Caenorhabditis elegans: one gene and its partner. The protein of the gene in region 2 interacts with the protein of the main gene of each other region in a pairwise test. Each region holds a gene or a part of one and is shown on either strand. Other genes may lie near its edges. The genes, in order: rbm-7 and vet-6.

The links.
Region 1: the proteins of vet-6 (region 2) and rbm-7 interact in a two-hybrid assay, tested with the Caenorhabditis elegans proteins (one large-scale study listed by BioGRID).

Annotation. Positions count from the first base shown.
Region 1 is NC_003281.10:12,927,808-12,933,732, reverse strand, and holds rbm-7 (RRM domain-containing protein), read left to right. Parts: upstream 1-1,865; 5' UTR 1,866-1,871; coding exon 1,872-2,051; intron 2,052-2,096; coding exon 2,097-2,305; exon of another isoform or gene 2,306-2,345; coding exon of another isoform or gene 2,346-2,551; intron 2,552-2,595; coding exon of another isoform or gene 2,596-2,641; intron 2,642-3,787; coding exon of another isoform or gene 3,788-3,841; exon of another isoform or gene 3,842-3,860; intron 3,861-4,015; coding exon 4,016-4,152; intron 4,153-5,053; coding exon 5,054-5,259; 3' UTR 5,260-5,363; downstream 5,364-5,925. Other genes in the region: Y37D8A.19 (uncharacterized protein), read right to left, coding at 2,346-2,551, 2,596-2,641, 3,788-3,841.
Region 2 is NC_003279.8:13,268,205-13,273,575, reverse strand, and holds vet-6 (Very Early Transcript), read right to left. Parts: upstream 3,593-5,371; 5' UTR 3,577-3,592; coding exon 3,285-3,576; intron 3,231-3,284; coding exon 2,400-3,230; intron 2,341-2,399; coding exon 2,005-2,340; intron 1,957-2,004; coding exon 884-1,956; 3' UTR 794-883; downstream 1-793.

The DNA of each region.
Region 1 (5,925 bases), on a different chromosome or scaffold from region 2:
TGATTCGGTGCACTGCAACTTTTTCCTCACGAGGGACGAGGAAAAGTGGTTTCTAGGCCATGGCCGAGGGGCCGACAAGTTTCAGCGGCCATTTATCTTGCTTTGTTTTCCGCCTGTTTTCTTTTGTTTTTCACAGCTTTTTCCCGTTTTTTCTTATTAAAACTGATAAATAAATACTTTTTGCAGACGCTAAAACAATTTCCAAGTAAAAAAATCATGTATTCAGTGGGCAAGCAGCGGTGAAAGTGGGCATTGTAATATGATTATTGGCCACTTTCACCGCTGCTTGCCCACTGAATACATAATTTTTTACTTGGAAATTGTTTTAGCATCTGCAAAAAGTATTTATTTATCAGTTTTAATAAGAAAAAACGAAAAAAATCGATGAAAAACAAAAGAAAACAGGCGGAAAACAAAGCAAGATAAATGGCCGCTGAAACTTGTCGGCCCCTCGGCCATGGCCTAGAAACCACTTTTCCTCGTCCCTCGTGAGGAAAAAGTTGCAGTGGCGCGCGAGACAGATGTGGCGTTGTTCCAATTTCTTGGCAATTAGCCAAGAAAATGGGAGAACGAACGGGGAAGAAGAGATATGGGAGACGACGGGGGAGACCCAGAAAAGGCGGAAAGTGAAAGAGCTGGGGAAAAGTAGTGGAATATCAAATTTAATCAAAATTCTTCGAAAAAAGGGGTTTTTTGCATTAAAAATCATGTTTTATGTTCATTTTATGTTTTATTACATGTTATCAGTGAAAATAATTGTTTTTGTCATCAAAAAGTATTTGTGAGCATGCTCATGAGCACATATGTGTTTGAGACAAGATTTCTAACAATTTATGGTTTAAACACACTAAATAAAGTACGAAATTACGATTAGCGTTTAAAAAAAATCAAAAATCTTTGTAAAAAATGCCAAAGAAATCAAAATTTGATGTCTTATCATCATCATTTGTGGGTTTTTAATGAATCGTCTAGCAAAAGAGAGGCAGGAAATTGCACTTTTCAGAAAAAAAACCCCACGAGGGGGCGCCTGATCTTGTTTTTTCTCGATAAAAATTGCGGAACAACGGAGAAATATTTATTTATCAATCTAGAAAAATATTGTTCCTCATAGCCTGAACCTGAAAAGAACTTTCTAGTTTTTTTGAAACTGCTATGAAATAGTTAGTAAAACAAATAAATAATGACTCATTTGGGCGCTCTGACGATCTGAAAAGCAGGTAAATTCGTCATACAGGAGAAAAATGAGGAAGAAATAACCTTTTTTCTTTTGAATTAAAAAAAAGCGGACATTTTTCTGAGGAAGAAGGGGGCTAAAGGGTGGCTAAAGGGCTCTTGAGACGGATTCGATTTATTTTTTGAGGTAGAAATATGGATTTTTAAGTCAATTTAAGTTTGGTTTCAAACAAAGCTAATTCTCAGGAATTGAGCGGTTTAGCTGTATAAAAATTTTAAAAATAAATACACCGCTCGCTCCATGGAGAAATATTAATTTTTGCTTTAAATCGAACTGTAGAGCTCTGCGAGCCTCTTCTCCACTCGACACACGGAAAAAACTAGTAAAAGTACCTGAAATATACTTTGGAAACAATTAATTTTCACAAAAAACGGAAAAAGGTTAAGTAAATTTGCTAAAACAACCAGTTTTTGTCGGCTAGGTTCTACTTTTCTAGTGCCGTGCTGGCTTTTCTCTATGCACGAGATATGCGCCAGCAAAATCGAGAAACGCGTCAGCGAGGACATGTTTGCGCCATCCGGGAATGGGAATGGGATTTATTTGGTTTTTCTCGTTTTTCTCGCTTTTTCTCTCACATGAGTGAATTTTCAGCCTTTTTTTCGAAATTTCGAATTTAAATTTGAATTTTCAGCAAAAAATGGAAATAAAACCAACGCCATCGCCTCCAGAAGAGCGCACAATATACGTGGCCAATTTTTCAGAAGAAGTCGATGAAGAATTGCTCGAAGAGCTTTTTATTCAAGCCGGCCCCGTTGTAAAAGTTATTCTGAGAGATGTGAGGGATTCTAATGCAAAATTCGCATTGGTGGAGTTTGAGGTAAGCAATTTCGCTGAAAAATTTAAAAAAAAAAATAAATTTCAGGACGAATTATCTGTACTATTCGCCATTGAATTGATGAATGGAGTGCGACTTTTCAATCAAGAACTACAAGTAAAGCCGCGAAATGGCACAAATCAGGAGGAATTATATAAGCGAAAAAAAGGAGAAATCGAGGAAAGAGTTCGATCGGTAGCGGCACCGGATCGAGACGGAAGACGGGATAGCTATAGAGATGATCGGAACAGGAATAGGTAGAGTTTATTGGATTAATTCAAGGATTTTAAGGCTCAATTAGCACGATCTGACGCAGCAAACACAGCTTCTTCCGTTTGTCGACGGGAATCCGGAGGCGCGATCTGCGGAGAGCCCGGCGGCAAGAGCAACGGATGCACAACATCCTGGGCATCGTTCGGCTGGATTTGAAGCAGCGTCAGTGCACCGAGCATTTGTAGACTGGCCGTCAATGTTGGCGACGAAGCCGGCGGCAGTGGAGCAGGCTGGAAATTGAATTTTATTGATTTTTTAGCGTTAAAAATCGTACCAAAGCAACTTGGGAATCTGTTAGCATTGTTATTGTTCCAGATGATCTGAAAAGAAACAAAATTGATTTTTTTTTTGAATTTTATAATGAAACTTCTTGAAAACTTTTCCAAAAAAAATTATGACGGCTCAAAAAATGGCCTAAAATTCGTTAAAATCGGAAATTTGATCGACTTGTCAATGTCGCAGCGGCTGGAAATATATTTTTTTGAAATCACCGTTAAATTTTGAGTCTACAAGTTGATATTTTGCGTTTTAAACTTGATTAACAAGGAAAGTCGAAAAATTTAATGTCTGACTTTGGCATGACATAGTATTTTTCGATAAAAGAGTAAAAATAATGATGCCTCCAAAAAATTTAGCTGCCCGGTTCAGGTTCAGCAAAGTTATGACGTTTTGGAAGTGACTAAAACACCTTTTTACAAAATTTCAAAATTTTCAACAAAAAAAAATTTCTAAAAAGAGGAGCAAATGTGTGTAAATTATTCAAAACAATGAAAAACATATGCTATGCAAGTTTTAGGTTATACCTCTCAAGAAAACCCACAAATTAAATCTGCAAAAAAATGTACTTTTTGGAATTTTCCTCAAGTTATGTAGATCAAGCAATGTGCTTTTTGGTCTGTGGTGAGAAAAAACGTGTATGATAAATGTTTTTCTCATTTTTGGATAAGTTAAAACAGTTTTTTCCTCTTTTTAGAAAATTTTTTTTTTTTTTGAAAATTTTGAAATTTTGTAAAAAGGTGTTCCAGTCACTTTCAAAACGTCATAACTTTGCCGAACCTGGACCGGGCAGCTAAATTTTTTGGAGGCATCATTATTTTCACTCTTTTATCGAAAAAAATACTATGTCATGCCAAAGTCAGACATTAAATTTTTCGACTTTCCTTGTTAATCAAGTTTAAAACGCAAAATATCAACTCGTAGACTCAAAATTTAACGGTGATTTCAAAAAAAAAATATTTCCAGCCGCTGCGACATTGACAAGTCGGTCAAATTTCCGATTTCATCTAATTTTAGGCCATTTTTTGAGCCGTCATAACTTTTTTCTGAAAAGTTTTCAAGAAGTTTCATTATGAAATTCGGTGTTTTCAGACAATTTTGAGCCTAATAAGGCAATTTTTAAAAAAAATTCTACTACACCAGTGGTGTAACACCACCTTTAATTATAAAAAACATTATAAAAAACTCACGCTCTGCCCCGCAGCCACAGAAATTACAGCGAAAAATACGATAAGAAGCTTCATCTCTAACTCAGACGATGATAAAAAGATCAAATTCGGCTTTATTTTATACCCGGCGTTGGCTTGGTTTCTGTCTCACAACATTTTTTTTTTGATTAAAAATCTCAGAAATCGAAGAAAAACGTTGAAAATCAACAAAAAAAGGCCGAAAAATCATTTTTTTTTTGTCTTTTCCAGAAACGGAAACAACCGTGACTCATGGCAGCAGCAGCAGCCTCCTCGTCATCATCGACAATATGATCCTCTTCCACCTCCACCGCCACCTCCACTGATGGGAGGATCCGGAGGACATTGGAGAAGCGGAGGGGAAAGAGGTAGCAAAAAAATCGATTTTTAGTTGAAATTTCTGAAAAATTGGAGATTTTTAGGCCTGAAATACATGAGAACGGGCTCAAAATAACTGAAAAATGGAAAAAAAATCTTTTTTTTAAAAATTTTTTTTTGCAAAAAATTCAAAATTTCAACCTTTTTTCCGCAAAAAAACATGCTGAAACCCTAAAAATCGATAATTTGCAAGGTTTTTGCGGAAATTAGCCGGAAAATTTGATTTTTAAAAAATTGAGCCAATTTTTGAGGAATTTTAGAAGAACAAATCTATAATTTTTCCGAAACCCCCTCAATATAAGTGAGAAATCGGTGAAAAAATCTTAATTAGAAAAAATTTTTTTTTGTTCAAAAATCTGAAAAATTGGAGATTTTTAGCCCTAAATTGCATAAAAGCAGGCTCAATTTACCTAATTAGGCCTAAAATAACTCAAAAATTGGGAAAAAAAATTACACCAGACGAAAAAAAGAGCATCGTTTGTCCAATTTTCAGACATTTTTCCGCAAAAAAAAATTGCTGAAGCTCAAAAGTGGCCAATTTTAGAGAGTTTCAGGGACTTTTTTTGCGGCAAAAAGTCTGAAAAATCATTCCTAAAATCAAATATTAGAGAAAAATTCAATGAAAACCAATAAATTTTCTGCAGAAAAACGCAGAAATGTCGGAAAAATTCGTTAATTTTTCCAAAAAATCGATTTTTTTTGCAGAAGTTTCTGAAAAGTTCTAGATTTTTAGACCTAAATTTCATGAGAACAAGCTTAATGTACCTAAAATAACTAAAAAAAATTGAATAAAATTGAAAAAGCTGAAAAAAGTTCGCTGAAAAAAGTAACCAATTCAGCCGAAAAACGCAAGAATGTCGGAAAAAAAATCGAAAAATCAATATTTTCCAGGTCCTCCACAATATTCGACTCCGCAAATGCTTCCTCATCAACATTTTGTAAATCAAATGATGCAGCAACAAATTAATAGATCCGCTCCTCCGTACAATGGACGTCATCAGAATTCCACGCCACACCGTCATCACGATCGTCATGGATATGACCGAAGCTCGAGCCGGCATCATCGCAATGATGACAGAAGACGTGAACGTTATTGATCGATGATTCGGGCGGGAAATCATAATTATTTTGATCTTTTTCACTTGTTTTGCCATGTTTTTTGGTCTCATTTTATATATTTAATAAAAGCAAACACAATTTGAAAATATAGAGAAAAATGCAACAACAAAGATCTACTGGAAATTTTCAAAAAAATTTATTTTTAGGCTCCGCCCACTTCCTGGATATCCGGAAATTTCAAGTGATTTTTTTGGAATTTTTTTCCTTTCCAGAAAAACAGATATCTCCAGGAAGTGGGCGGGGCCTAATAAGCCGTTTTTTTTTGAAAAATAAAAAAATCCAAAAAAATTTATTTTTAGGCTCCGCCCACTTCTTGGGCATTCGGAAATTTTCAGTGTTTTTTTTGGAATTTATTTTCCAAAATAACCTATCTCCAAGAAGTGGGCGGGGCCTAAAAAGCAGTTTTTTTTTGAAAATTGTTAAAAAATCAAAAAATTCGGATTTTTTTTGGAAAATCCTAAAAATTCAGAAATTCCACAGAAAAAAAACACCTTTTTTTCAATTTTGGCTAAATTTTGGCCGACCAACCAGCGAATTGCTTCGCCCACTTTCCGACCAATCAGGTGAGAGGTCCACCTTTATTATTTCATTAAAAGTAAACAATTTGAAGAAGGAAAAAAAAACGAAATAACAATAAGGATCTA
Region 2 (5,371 bases):
AATCTATTTTTTCGTCTGTCAATCTATTTTTCGTCTGTCAATCTATTTTTTCGTCTGTCAATCTATTTTTCGTCTGTCAATCTATTTTTTGTCTGTCAATCTATTTTTTCGTCTGTCAATCTATTTTTCGTCTGTCAATCTATTTTTTGTCTGTCAATCTATTTTTTGTCTGTCAATCTATTTTTTCGTCTGTCAATCTATTTTTTTCGTCTGTCAATCTATTTTTCGTCTGTCAATCTATTTTTTCGTCTGTCAATCTATTTTTTCGTCTGTCGACAGACGACAATTTTTCCAATTTAAAAAAATCATATCTAGCTTTAAACTAACATTTTCAAAAATCCCTGTCATTTTGTTGCAAATTTTGTGGTCTTTCAGAATTTGGAAACCAAATTTGAAAAAGTTTCATATTCACTGAGTTCAAGCAGAAAAAGTGGAATGTCAGTCATACCGTTTAGTGGACAAATTCAAATTGAGACGTGTATCAATGTTTGAGACACACCTGAAACATGTTTTAGTCTAGGGTAGGGCTGTCTACGGTAGACGTCGCGCCTAGGCTCTATTTCCCTCCGACACCCTCTTCCCAACTTGACCTCCCGGAGACTATAGCTCGTCCAATTGGTCATTTTACTTTTTCGTCCACTCATTATTTCATTTTTTCTCTTCCCCTACTTACCTAGGTCTGGCTCGAAAGTATTTTAAGAATCTCAGTGGCCCTATTCGGGGAACCTAAGCCATTGCTTCTAATAAAATTTGCTTCTTATAAATTGCTTCTAATAAAATTGCATTCTAATAAAAAAACATAATTTATTGAAATTAATTATCAAAAAAGGACAGGTCAGAACAATGAAAATCAAATGGAAATATTGCAAAAATGAATATATTTTCAGATGCCGGTAGTTCCAGCCGAATTATTACATCTCATCGCATACAACGTGTAGACTTTGGCGCTGGGAAGTTCCATATAACCATTGTGAAGCCCGTTGAGTTGCTCCTTCTTAATTCTTCCATTAACATCCTTCATAAAAATTGTGAATGGGTGATTTGGAGCAGAAACGGTGAAAAGCACTGTTGAGCTATGGGCCTTCGATGAATCGTAGACGATTTCCGGACATGTAACTTGATAGAAACATTTTCCTGTCACGCAATACATATACTTCTCAATCTCCTTTGTGAAATCGTTGAAGACATGAATTACATAGGTTTTGATAGAATCAGCGTACTCTGCGTATAATGGACACAAGTGCCATTCCTCAACATTTAATGGGCATCCCGAACAGTTGAGTTGCTCGAATTGCTGTGTAGATGGGTTGAATGCGTACTTGAGATAATGTCCCAATCGACTGGAGAAGATATAGAGAGCACTCTGACTGTATGTTGGACACCAGCGGATTGTGGATAATGGAAGAGTACTGGATGGTTCTTGAACCATCTCCACACCCTCCAGCTCCTTCATCAAAAGAGTTCTCACTTCAACACTCGGAATCTTCACATACTTTCCATATCTGAACTCCAGCTTCTTCACACCAAATCGTGACTTTTGGATGATCACTTGATCATCTCCATCTCCATTGACTGCTGCTACAAAATCAGTGTTTTTCGGTCCTTGAGCTGGTTGCACCTCCGGATAGTTCACTTGCTCGAATCCCCCAGTCTTGAAGCTGAACATGTACTGCTCATCTTTTTGCTTTGTCACCATATTGTCCATGAAAATCACGAAATTGGAGATTTTCTCGTTCCAAACTGCACACGTGGGGAATAAGTGGTTTTCTTGAACTCTTGGAACACAGGCAAGACACTTGTGCTGCTCGAATTTCTCCTCTTGATGATTGTAGGTGTATACGTGAGAAGGTCTCTTCCAGCAATAGACACTGTAAGTTGTGACATTTCTTGATGTGCAATGACGGATCCTGATTGGAGAAGAGTGTTGTCTGTTGGTGCACATCCGAGGATTACATTCTGAAAATAATAATATGATTAAAAGATTTGTGGTACTTAATTAGTTACCTTGTCTCGCACCATATCCTGGGGCTTCGGACCAGACAACTGGAGCAGAGGTGGGTGCTGATTCCTGGGTAGTTTCTGGAGTTACTTCTGTTGGCTCTGACTGTGATGTAGATTCTACATTTGTGGTCGAAATGTTTTCTTCAGTAATCTCTGAGGCTTCAACGAACGCATTATTGAGCAATGAGTTCACTTCTTGACTTTCAGAATCAAAACAAGAAGCAAGTGTCTGAGAAGTCTGAAGTTCATAAAGCCTCAAAGCTTGACGATGAAACTCGACCATCTGTTTTTCGGAATCTACACCAGGGTGGTGTACTAGATCCGGATATGATGTGATGTCTGCAAAAAGATTTTATAATTAATTATAGTTTCGTATATTAATAAATATATTAAATTACCTTGGTTTATATCGGAACTTTCAGAGTTGAACCAAGAAACTGGGGCCGAGGTGAGCGGTGATGTCTGGGTAGTTTCAGGATCTAGTTGAGTTGCTGGATCTACATTTGAGGTAGAAATGCTTTCTGGAGCAATCTGTGAGGCTTCAGTGGTTTGAGTCGGTGTCTTCTTGGTACGAATGCCGGACAGATTCACTATTTCATTGAACAACGGGATTAATTCGCTGGATGCCGGCTTTAGCAGATCCAAAAGTTGATCTTCTGATTCCTTTAAACGACAGATCTCTGCATACTTTGAAGCACGCTCTTTGACATCTTTATCAGACTCCATCGGATATTCATTAAGATCCTTGCAAAGCTCATTGGTTGTTTTCCGATAAGCCTCTTCTACCGCTTCTAAGTGTTTCCTGCTTGCATTAACCGCTTCACAGTATTTTAGAAAACCAGTAGAAGCATGCAAATTCAGTACTGTCATGAAGTCTTTTCGAGCGTTTGACAGCTCGCGGCGCTTGGGAAAATATTCTGCGAAGAGCTGTATGGTAGCAGCTGTCAATCCAGTTGAGCGATCTTTTAATACCGCTGAATCACCAATCTTTGCATACTTCGAAGCTTGACGTTGAAGCTCTACCATCCGCTTTTCGAAATCTTCATCAGCGGTCGATTTCTTTGGTTCGGCAACATATTCATTTCGAACCAAGGGTGGTGGAAGTGTAGAGTTGTATCGTTGAGTTGGGATAAAAACTCCGTCTCTGATGGCTTCTTCTCGGAATTCGGCATCCAGAACAGCTTTTTTGGCGGCTAAATCTTGATCATTGGTTGAAGATGGATTGCTTTCTGAAATTAAAGGATTAGAAAATCTATAATCTTCAAAGAGTAATGAAAACTGACCTCGATTTTTAATAGAACAAGATTCCGGACTCTCCCTCACTGCATCCGCGAATGAACGGCGAACCATATGAAATTCTTCTACTTTGCTCTGATGAGCTTTTTGTGCCGCTTGAACATTCTTCCAGCATGTGTTAACAACTTCAAGGTGATTTTGAGAGCCAGTAGACTTGTGCATGTTTCTTGCAGCCACATAGTCTTTTTGTGCCTTTTCCAGATCTTTGACCATTTCAGAACGTTCGCGATTGAGTTGTGAGAGAGCAGATTTCAATTCAAGTGCAGAGTTGGAACTCATCGTTGGAGTTTACTTTCTGGAAATTGAAGATAATTAGAATCTTCTAGACAAGACAATACGACAAAACAGGTAACAGAAAAATAAGGAAAATAATTGAAAAAAGGAAAGAAAAAACCAGCTCACCAACCAGGAAGGGCAGTTGAAGATTGAATGACTGGAAGACTGAGTGGTAAGGTGCCTGAAATCTGTCAGACTCCATTTGCGCGTTTTGGGTTATCGATTACCCATAAAGTGATTTATCTGGACAAAGGAGGAGCCTGCCATTGTCTGAAAAGGAGACGATGGCAACCCTCTTATAGTGGAGTCCCAGGAGACCGAATATCTAGAAAAACACTGAGCATCTGTCAAATGACACTAATATTCTCCCACTCTTGCAATAAATTGGGACGTACAGTCAAGTCTGTTTTGCTGAATTACAGTGCCTTTTCTTTTAATGTTTCATCTTACTTTGCCAAGCAATTTCAAACTAGGGTATACAGTGCGTCCAACTTCTATAGCACCCCCCTCCAATTTGGCGGTTTGGAGCTTCTCAAAATATTTTTTGAAAAAGTGCTAGTGCAGTTCGATAGCAAATGTTGAAAAACCTATGCTCCCCAATTTTCATTATGATATCTCAAAAATCACAGGAATTAGGTCAAAATATCGGAAAAATGGCCGTCCAACTTCTATAGCACCCCCTCTGATTTTTGGCAATTTTCGGTAAAATCGGGGTTTTCTTCTTAATTAATAAATTTATTTTGTGAATAACTTTACAACAAAATGTTCAGACGGTTTCATTTTCACATTTAAAAAATAAATATAACCCCTGAAAACACGTGGAACGCCTAGGATTGTCCTGGAACGTTCGTATTTGCTTCAGAGGCCATTTCTCGGCTCCCAATGATTTTCGCAGCACCAAACTTGACCAAAATGATCTTCCCCACCTATTTATTACTATTCAAATAATTGTTGAAAACATTTATTCATATGAACCAAATGGTAAAGGGAGCAACTGCAGTGATTTTCAAAAGGCTTGATTTAACTATGAAAACTAGCGTTTGGAGGCGCAGAGCTGAAGGTTGGTAATACATTTTCGACTAAGAATTACTAAATTATAGCAAAAAAAAAAAATTATATTATGTGAACATCAAATCTGTGGAAATCCATGGATACATCAAATGCTAGACATCTACATTCACCGATTCAGGTTTTGTCTGTTAGCTTTTAGGTTCTTTGACCATAGAAATATTCAATGAGCAAATTCGCTAAATTTCAGTTGAGTTATAAATACAGCTAGAAAAATCGCCATTCAGAAAGTTATATCTTACTTTCGTCTTTAAAATTTTCGCGTGTTAGCTTGAGAAAAATACTTGCGGCCTCGCTTTGCCTTTGTCCTCTTTTGAGCGGTCTCATGAACTTTTCCGAATAAATTTTCGAAGACTTCTAATCAAAATCAAAGCTTCAAGGATATTTGAACCGGATGAGCTAAAATTCTGTACAATAGGAAGTCAAAACCATCAGCTCTGCGCCTCCAAACGCTAGTTTTCATAGTTAAATCAAGCCTTTTGAAAATCACTGCAGTTGCTCCCTTTACCATTTGGTTCATATGAATAAATGTTTTCAACAATTATTTGAATAGTAATAAATAGGTGGGGAAGATCATTTTGGTCAAGTTTGGTGCTGCGAAAATCATTGGGAGCCGAGAAATGGCCTCTGAAGCAAATACGAACGTTCCAGGACAATCCTAGGCGTTCCACGTGTTTTCAGGGGTTATATTTATTTTTTAAATGTGAAAATGAAACCGTCTGAACATTTT